Linked DNA regions of Xenopus tropicalis. The protein of the gene in region 1 interacts with the protein of each later gene in a biochemical or structural test. Links are inferred from orthologs where the notes say so. Each region holds a gene or a part of one and is shown in the gene's direction. Other genes may lie near its edges.

The links.
Region 2: of the proteins of irak1 (region 1) and irak4, one has a biochemical effect on the other in vitro, tested with the Homo sapiens proteins (2 studies listed by BioGRID). The link is inferred for Xenopus tropicalis from reciprocal best matches to the Homo sapiens genes IRAK1 and IRAK4.

What each region holds. Positions count from the first base shown.
Region 1 is NC_030684.2:32,216,393-32,220,918, reverse strand, and holds the start of irak1 (interleukin-1 receptor-associated kinase 1), read left to right. Parts: upstream 1-1,469; 5' UTR 1,470-1,589; coding exon 1,590-1,701; intron 1,702-4,526.
Region 2 is NC_030679.2:64,402,523-64,406,340, reverse strand, and holds part of irak4 (interleukin-1 receptor-associated kinase 4), read left to right. Parts: intron 1-291; coding exon 292-401; intron 402-3,818.

The sequences.
Region 1 (4,526 bases):
GCCCTGTATGTATCCCTCTGCTCCCCCCCTGCAGCCCTGTATGTATCCCTCTGCTCCCCCCCCTGCAGCCCTGTATGTATCCCTCTGCTCTCCCCAGCAGCCCTGTACCTATCCCTCTGCTCCCCCCCAGCAGCCCTGTATGTAACCCTCTGCTCTCCCCAGCAGCCCTGTACCTATCCCTCTGCTCCCCCTCAGCAGCCCTGTATGTATCCCTCTGCTCCCCCCCCAGCAGCCCTGTACCTATCCCTCTGCTCGCCCCCATCGCAGCCCTGTACCTATCCCTATGCTCCCCCCCAGCAGCCCTGTATGTATCCCTCTGCTCCCCCCAGCAGCCCTGTACCTATCCCTCTGCTCCCCCTCAGCAGCCCTGTATGTATCCCTCTGCTCCCCCCCCAGCAGCCCTGTACCTATCCCTCTGCTCGCCACCCCATCGCAGCCCTGTACCTATCCCTCTGCTCGCCCCCCATCACAGCCCTGTACCTATCCCTCTGCTCGCCCCCCATCGCAGCCCTGTACCTATCCCTATGCTCCCCCCCAGCAGCCCTGTATGTATCCCTCTGCTCCCCCAGCAGCCCTGTACCTATCCCTCTGCTCCCCCCCCCTGCAGCCCTGTACCTATCCCTCTGCTCCCCCACAACAGCCCTGTATGTATCCCTCTCCTTCCCCCCAGCAGCCCTGTACATGTGCCTCTGCTCCCCCACAGCAGCCCTGTATGTACCCCTCTGCTCCCCCCAGCAGCCCTGTACCTATCCCTCTGCTACCCCGGCAGCCCTGTATGTATCCCTCTGCTCCCCCCCCCCCCCCAGCAGCCCTGTACCTATCCCTCTGCTCCCCCCCCTGCAGCCCTGTATGTATCCCTCTGCTCTCCCCAGCAGCCCTGTACCTATCCCTCTGCTCCCCCTCAGCAGCCCTGTATGTATCCCTCTGCTCCCCCCCAGCAGCCCTGTACCTATCTCTCTGCTCCCCCCCCTGCAGCCCTGTATGTATCCCTCTGCTCCCCCCCCAGCAGCCCTGTACCTATCCCTCTGCTCCCCCCCCTGCAGCCCTGTATGTATCCCTCTGCTCCCCCCCCCCCCAGCAGCCCTGTACCTATCCCTCTGCTCCCCCCCCTGCAGCCCTGTATGTATCCCTCTGCTCTCCCCAGCAGCCCTGTACCTATCCCTCTGCTCCCCCTCAGCAGCCCTGTATGTATCCCTCTGCTCCCCCCCCAGCAGCCCTGTACCTATCCCTCTGCTCCCCCCCCTGCAGCCCTGTATGTATCCCTCTGCTCCCCCCCTGCAGCCCTGTACCTATCCCTCTGCTCCCCCCCCTGCTGCCCTGTAGGTACTAATTCTACATTCAAATTTTCCCCCTCATCGCAGCATGTGAATTCCTAAACAGTGACACAAGCCCCTCCCCCAAATGATATCACTACAACCCACCCACCTCTAGGTCACATGGTGACCTCAGTGCATTCTGCCATGTCCCGACGTTGCTGAGGGGAAGTGGCTGATCAGCCGGAGTTGCTGCGGGACAGCGGGGCAGTGCGCTTGTGTCTGGGCGGAGGGGCCGGGCTTGCTCAATGGTTTCACATCGGACAGACAGTCACCATGTCCAGAGGCTCCTTCGAGGAGGAATTTCTGTACCGAGTCCCCTCTCAGGTCATGTACCGCTTCTTCCACATCATGGACTCCTTGGAGGAGACGGACTGGAAGAAGTTTGGTGAGTTCCGCAAATGAGAGGGAGTAACAATCTGGGTGCTACTGATGGGCGCTACTGATGGGCACCCTGAGCTGGGGGTCAGGTGGTGCAGTTGTAAGTGGGTGCCAGGGGGGATAATATGGCTCAGGAGTTATAAGCTGGTGTGGGTGCCAGTCAGTCCTGCCCATGAGTATGGGCTGTCACCGCTCTGTGCCAGTGGGTGGGTGGGGACCTCACTTGGAACAGAATGGTGCCCAGGTATGGGCTTTGGGTCAGTGCTACATGCTACAGAATGAATCTCAATTGTGTGTGGGTTGTGCTGTGAGATGTACAGGGCTGCTGGGGGAGCACAGGGTTATATACAGGGCTGCTGGGGGGAGCACAGGGTTATATACAGGGCTGCTGGGGGGAGCACAGGGTTATATACAGGGCTGCTGGGGGGAGCACAGGGTTATATACAGGGCTGCTGGGGGGAGCACAGGGTTATATACAGGGCTGCTGGGGGGAGCACAGGGTTATATACAGGGCTGCTGGGGGGAGCACAGGGTTATATACAGGGCTGCTGGGGGGAGCACAGGGTTATATACAGGGCTGCTGGGGGGAGCACAGGGTTATATACAGGGCTGCTGGGGGGAGCACAGGGTTATATACAGGGCTGCTGGGGGGAGCACAGGGTTATATACAGGGCTGCTGGGGGGAGCACAGGGTTATATACAGGGCTACTGGGGGGAGCACAGGGTTATATACAGGGCTGCTGGGGGGAGCACAGGGTTATATACAGGGCTACTGGGGGGGAGCACAGGGTTATATACAGGGCTGCCGGGGGGAGCACAGGGTTATATACAGGGCTACTGGGGGGAGCACAGCGTTATATACAGGGCTGCCGGGGGGAGCACAGCGTTATATACAGGGCTGCTGGGGGGGAGCACAGGGTTATATACAGGGCTGCCGGGGGGAGCACAGGGTTATATACAGGGCTACTGGGGGAGCACAGGGTTATATACAGGGCTGCCGGGGGGAGCACAGGGTTATATACAGGGCTGCCGGGGGGAGCACAGGGTTACTATATACAGGGCTACTGGGGGGAGCACAGGGTTATATACAGGGCTGCCGGGGGGAGCACAGGGTTACTATATACAGGGCTACTGGGGGGAGCACAGGGTTATATACAGGGCTGCCGGGGGGAGCACAGGGTTACTATATACAGGGCTACTGGGGGGAGCACAGGGTTACTATATACAGGGCTGCCGGGGGGAGCACAGGGTTATATACAGGGCTGCTGGGGGGGAGCACAGGGTTATATACAGGGCTGCTGGGGGGGAGCACAGGGTTATATACAGGGCTGCTGGGGGGGAGCACAGGGTTATATACAGGGCTGCTGGGGGGGGAGCACAGGGTTATGTACAGGGCTGCTGGGGGGGGGAGCACAGGGTTACTATATACAGGGCTGCCGGGGGGAGCACAGGGTTATATACAGGGCTGCTGGGGGGGGAGCACAGGGTTATGTACAGGGCTGCTGGGGGGGGAGCACAGGTTTACTATATACAGGGCTGCCGGGGGGAGCACAGGGTTATATACAGGGCTGCTGGGGGGGAGCACAGGGTTATATACAGGGCTGCTGGGGGGGGAGCACAGGGTTATATACAGGGCTGCTGGGGGGGGGAGCACAGGGTTACTATATACAGGGCTGCCGGGGGGAGCACAGGGTTATATACAGGGCTGCCGGGGGGAGCACAGGGTTATATACAGGGCTGCTGGGGGGGAGCACAGGCTTATATACAGGGCTGCTGGGGGGGAGCACAGGGTTATATACAAGGCTTCTTGTGGGGAGCACAGGGTTATATACAGGGCTGCTGGGGGGGAGCACAGGGTTATATACAGGGCTGCTGGGGGGAGCACAGGGTTATATACAGGGCTGCTGGGGGGAGCAGAGGGATAGGTGCAAGGCTGCTGGGGGGAGCAGAGGGGTAGGTGCAAGGCTGCTGGGGGGAGCAGAGGGATAGGTACAAGGCTGCTGGGGGGAGCAGAGGGGTAGGTACAGGGCTGCTGGGGGGAAGGAGAGGCATAGGTGCAAGGCTGCTGGGGGGAGCAGAGGGGTAGGTGCAAGGCTGCTGGGGGGAGCAGAGGGGTAGGTACAGGGCTGCTGGGGGGAGCAGAGGGATACATACAGGGCTGCTGGGGGGGGAGCAGAGGGGTAGGTACAGGGCTGCTGGGGGGAGCAGAGGGATAGGTACAAGGCTGCTGGGGGGAGCAGAGGGGTAGGTACAGGGCTGCTGGGGGGAGCAGAGGGGTAGGTACAGGGCTGCTGGGGGGAGCAGAGGGGTAGGTACAGGGCTGCTGGGGGGAGCAGAGGGGTAGGTGCAAGGCTGCTGGGGGGAGCAGAGGGGTAGGTACAGGGCTGCTGGGGGGAGCAGAGGGATACATACAGGGCTGCTGGGGGGGGAGCAGAGGGGTAGGTACAGGGCTGCTGGGGGGAGCAGAGGGATAGGTACAAGGCTGCTGGGGGGAGCAGAGGGGTAGGTACAGGGCTGCTGGGGGGAGCAGAGGGGTAGGTACAGGGCTGCTGGGGGGAGCAGAGGGATAGGTACAGGGCTGCTGGGGGGAGCAGAGGGATAGGTACAGGGCTGCTGGGGGGGGGGGGCGCAGGTTTATATACAGGTCACATCATTTGGTGTGAATATAAATAAAGAAAAATTAAAATAAAATTATAATGGGAGCCAGGCAGGTTCAAAACAGACCCTGGCATTTCAAGTACACAGAGACCCAGACCCCCCACTCTGGCATTTGGTTTACTGCGGGCAGTTATAGGGAGCACTATAGTTTGTGCTTCATAACATTATGGTTGC
Region 2 (3,818 bases), on another chromosome or scaffold:
GGTAGTGCCTTTGCAGGGGCACTTTAATATAGTTATATATATCGCTTTCCATGTCTTTTTAAACACTTATGATACCCAAAGTTTATATAATATGATAAACTGTTGGTTAATTGCCGTTTAATTTTTTTGCATTATTTTGCCCTTTATATGTATCAGTTTTCTTGTCCTTGAAATAAAAATAGAAAAATTCAGGTTATCCAGATTTGCATAATGGTCACAAACTGTAATTCCTGTAAATTGACTATAATTCAGTGGGGGGGTCTTTTTTATTATGTTGTTTTTATTTTTTAGAATGATACACCACCAGTATCATGGGTTTTGAGATGTAACATTGCATATGGAACTGCAAATGGTATCAATTATTTGCATGAAAACAGTCATGTGCACAGAGATATTAAAAGGTAATTGCTATACTACAAAACAATAATTATTTGCATTTTATTAACAATGAAGTTAATGGTGGATGAGGACATTTCCCAGGATGCCACAACCAATGTGACTTGTGCTCTGATGAACTTCAGTCAAACTTAACTGCTGCGCTGCAAGTTGGAGTTTTATCACCCCCCCCCCTTCCTTTCCTCCCCAGCAGCCGATCAGCAGAGCAATGGGAAGGTAGCAAGATAGCAGCTCCCTGACACCAGCATTGCTAAAGGTGGTAGATATCAGAATAGCACTCAAGAGTAAGAAATCCAAGTCCAGCTCATGATTCCTCCAGTTACATGGAGTAATGTGTAGCGCTGGCTCCTTCTGAAAGCTCAGACTCGGGCATAATGCACTGAGATGGCTGCCTTCACACCAATATAAACTAAAAATATACATTTGTTGGCTCAAGAATAAAATTTGAAATGGTAGAGTGAATTACTTGCTATGTAAACTGTATAATTTAGTAATGAAAAATACACCATAAAAATCATGACAGAATCCCTTTAAAATCTATGTGTTTCCTAAACCAGCAAGCTAACACCAACAGACAATATTATGTTTTGTAATGTAACAAACTCTGAAAGAGAAGGCCTTTGCACTTAAATTAATGATCCCAAACTACTGATCATGAAGGCTGATAAAGGGGTTGCTGTATTTATACTTGATAAGGGCTCTGGCACACGGGGAGATTAGTCGCCTGCGGCAAAACTCCCTGTTCGCGGGCGACTAATCTCCCCGAGTTGCCTTCCCCTGCCATCCCACCGGCATACATGTAAGTCACTGGCGGGATGGCACACGCGGCGGCGCGATTTTGCGCAAATCGTCGAAAAAGACTCGCGAGTCTTTTTCGCCGATCTCCCGAAATCGCCCAGCCGCGTCTGCCATCCCACCGGCGACTTACATTGTCGCCGATGGGATGGCAGGGGAAGGCAACTCGGGTAGATTAGTTGCCCGCGAACAGGGAGTTTTGCCGCGGGCGACTAATCTCCCCGTGTGCCAGAGCCCTAAATCCTTTTACCACACAGAGCTTTTGTCACAATTATCCAACATATTCTAAATTGAAACAGGATCCAACCTCCTTCTTTAAAGAACACCAGAATGCCAACTGGATTGACCAAACCATATTCTTCTTCCTCTTTATCTAATTCCACATGATTGTATTTACAAGACGTGCGTGCCATTTCTCTGCAATTTGTTTTGTATTGTATTGTATTGCATTGTATATCTTTATTTATAAAGCGCTACTTATGTACGCAGCGCTGTACAGTAGAATACATTAATACAAACAGGGTGTTAATAAGATAATAGATAAATACAAAGTATAATAATAAATACAGATAAATACAGCAGCAATAAGTTAAGAGTCGAGGACACAAGAGGAAGGAGGTCCCTGCCCCGTAGAGCTTACAATCTATATAATTTGGTTCTGCATTTACACCTTACCAAGAATACATACAGTATGTCTACCAGGTCTTCTTCAGGAAACCCTGTTATTTCAGTTATGGACTCACTATGGCAACCTGTGGCATGGTTTCTACATTACTACCTACAACTGGTTCTATCCATGAAATCCTACACTCAAGACACACATGCTTGCTATGAACTTTAGCTAATTTACCTGACTTTCCAGGCAATTATTTTTTAACCAGTTGTGAAAAACTTCTGTACCATTATCCCACATGAGAAGAGAATTGAGGCAGTCGGATTTGCTCTGCTTGCACATACACGGTCCCCCAACTGAGTTTGTGACAGAGCTTCTAAGAGCACTTTTATACCACAACTACTTCATAATTGAAAATACTAACTCTAACAAGCAGGGACTGTGATTGGTTTGAATGTTGCCCCAACATGTTCTAACCTGTTCATGAACCAGTATGAAAAGATTCAGATTTATTCTCAGTTTGGGCAACACATTTTGCTTTACAAAAGCTACACTCATGCCCTGTTTTGATACTTCAAGGGTTGACTTCTTATATGAACAGATCTATAGGACAGGAACTAGGCTGCAAACTACACTGTTTTGAAGAGAGACAGACAGAAATATTATTTTACATTTATTATTTTACACACATCTTACACACACTATCAAGTTGTGCCTTATTCACAATTTCAAAGGGAGATCAGGAACAACTCTGACGCCATAAAGGCAAGAGAATAAGTTCTGAAACTAAAGAACCATTTACTTGCAGAAAAACTGTTCTCAAAGACTACTCGATAACCAGGCCGACACAGCAACTTTTATTACACCTCATCAACAAATAACTAAACCCAATCAACAGGTCCTGATCACTACCTTCAATTGGCAGAATTACCTTGATAAAGTAGCCTGGGACTACTGGCATATCTTGAGATGTAATATCTACTAACATGAACCCTCCAGTGACAGTTTTCAGAAAGGGAGAGAAGCCTAAGGGATCTGTCAGTAGTAAGGGCACTCACGCCATTTAATTCCTCAGCACCTTTGTCCTGGCTACAAACACCACTTAAAAATAATTGCTACCCTCATGGTGGGTGCAGAACTTGAAATGGACTTCAGTCACCCCCACACGAGGAGGATAAACGCTATAAATTTTAAAAAATACTATATTTTCCTATTTTGCGTGCCATTATAAAGCACTAATTTGAAAGTTGCTATTTTCACTGAACCAAACCCACCTTTCTTTATAAATAGGTCAGTTTGTTTAGAGTCCCTATCTTTGAACAAATAAACTTTTTCCTTATCTAAGCTCCTGTCTTTGACCAGCTCATTATCAGGGACTTCACAGTGAACTGGTAATTAGTTTTATCAACTCCTCTAAAGTTCTTCAGGATCAGGAAGTGCTAAAGTGAAAAAGGCTTCATATTTTTGCTTAGTGCCAGAAATAACAGAAACCAAAGTTTTTAACATTTTTTCATTTAAATAATAGGCAAAAAGTATGTTTAGCACAAGCCCTATACATTCAGTTTATGTTAAAAAGGGGTGTATATTGTCCCTTAAAACACTTGTGGATGTGAGATACAGAAAGGAATAATTTATAAAAGCAATGGTATCTGTTATGGTAGCACTTACAGATGCTAGAATCCTACTGTATCAGTCTGCAGCATTGTCAGTAGGCATCTGTAAATTTATAACAGCCTTTTGACGCAAGCAGAAAGTCTGGACATAACAAACTGTCTAGTTTATTTGAAATGGTAGGTCATGTACAGTGAGGAACATAAGTATTTGAACACCCTGCGATTTTGCAAGTTCTCCCACTTAGAAATCATGGATGGGTCTGAAATTCATTCATTAGGTGCATTCCCACTGTGAGAGACAGCATTTAAAAAAAAATTTAAAAAAAAATCAGGAAATCACATTGTATGATTTTTAAAGAATGTATTTGTATTGCACTGCTGCACATAAGTATTTGAACACC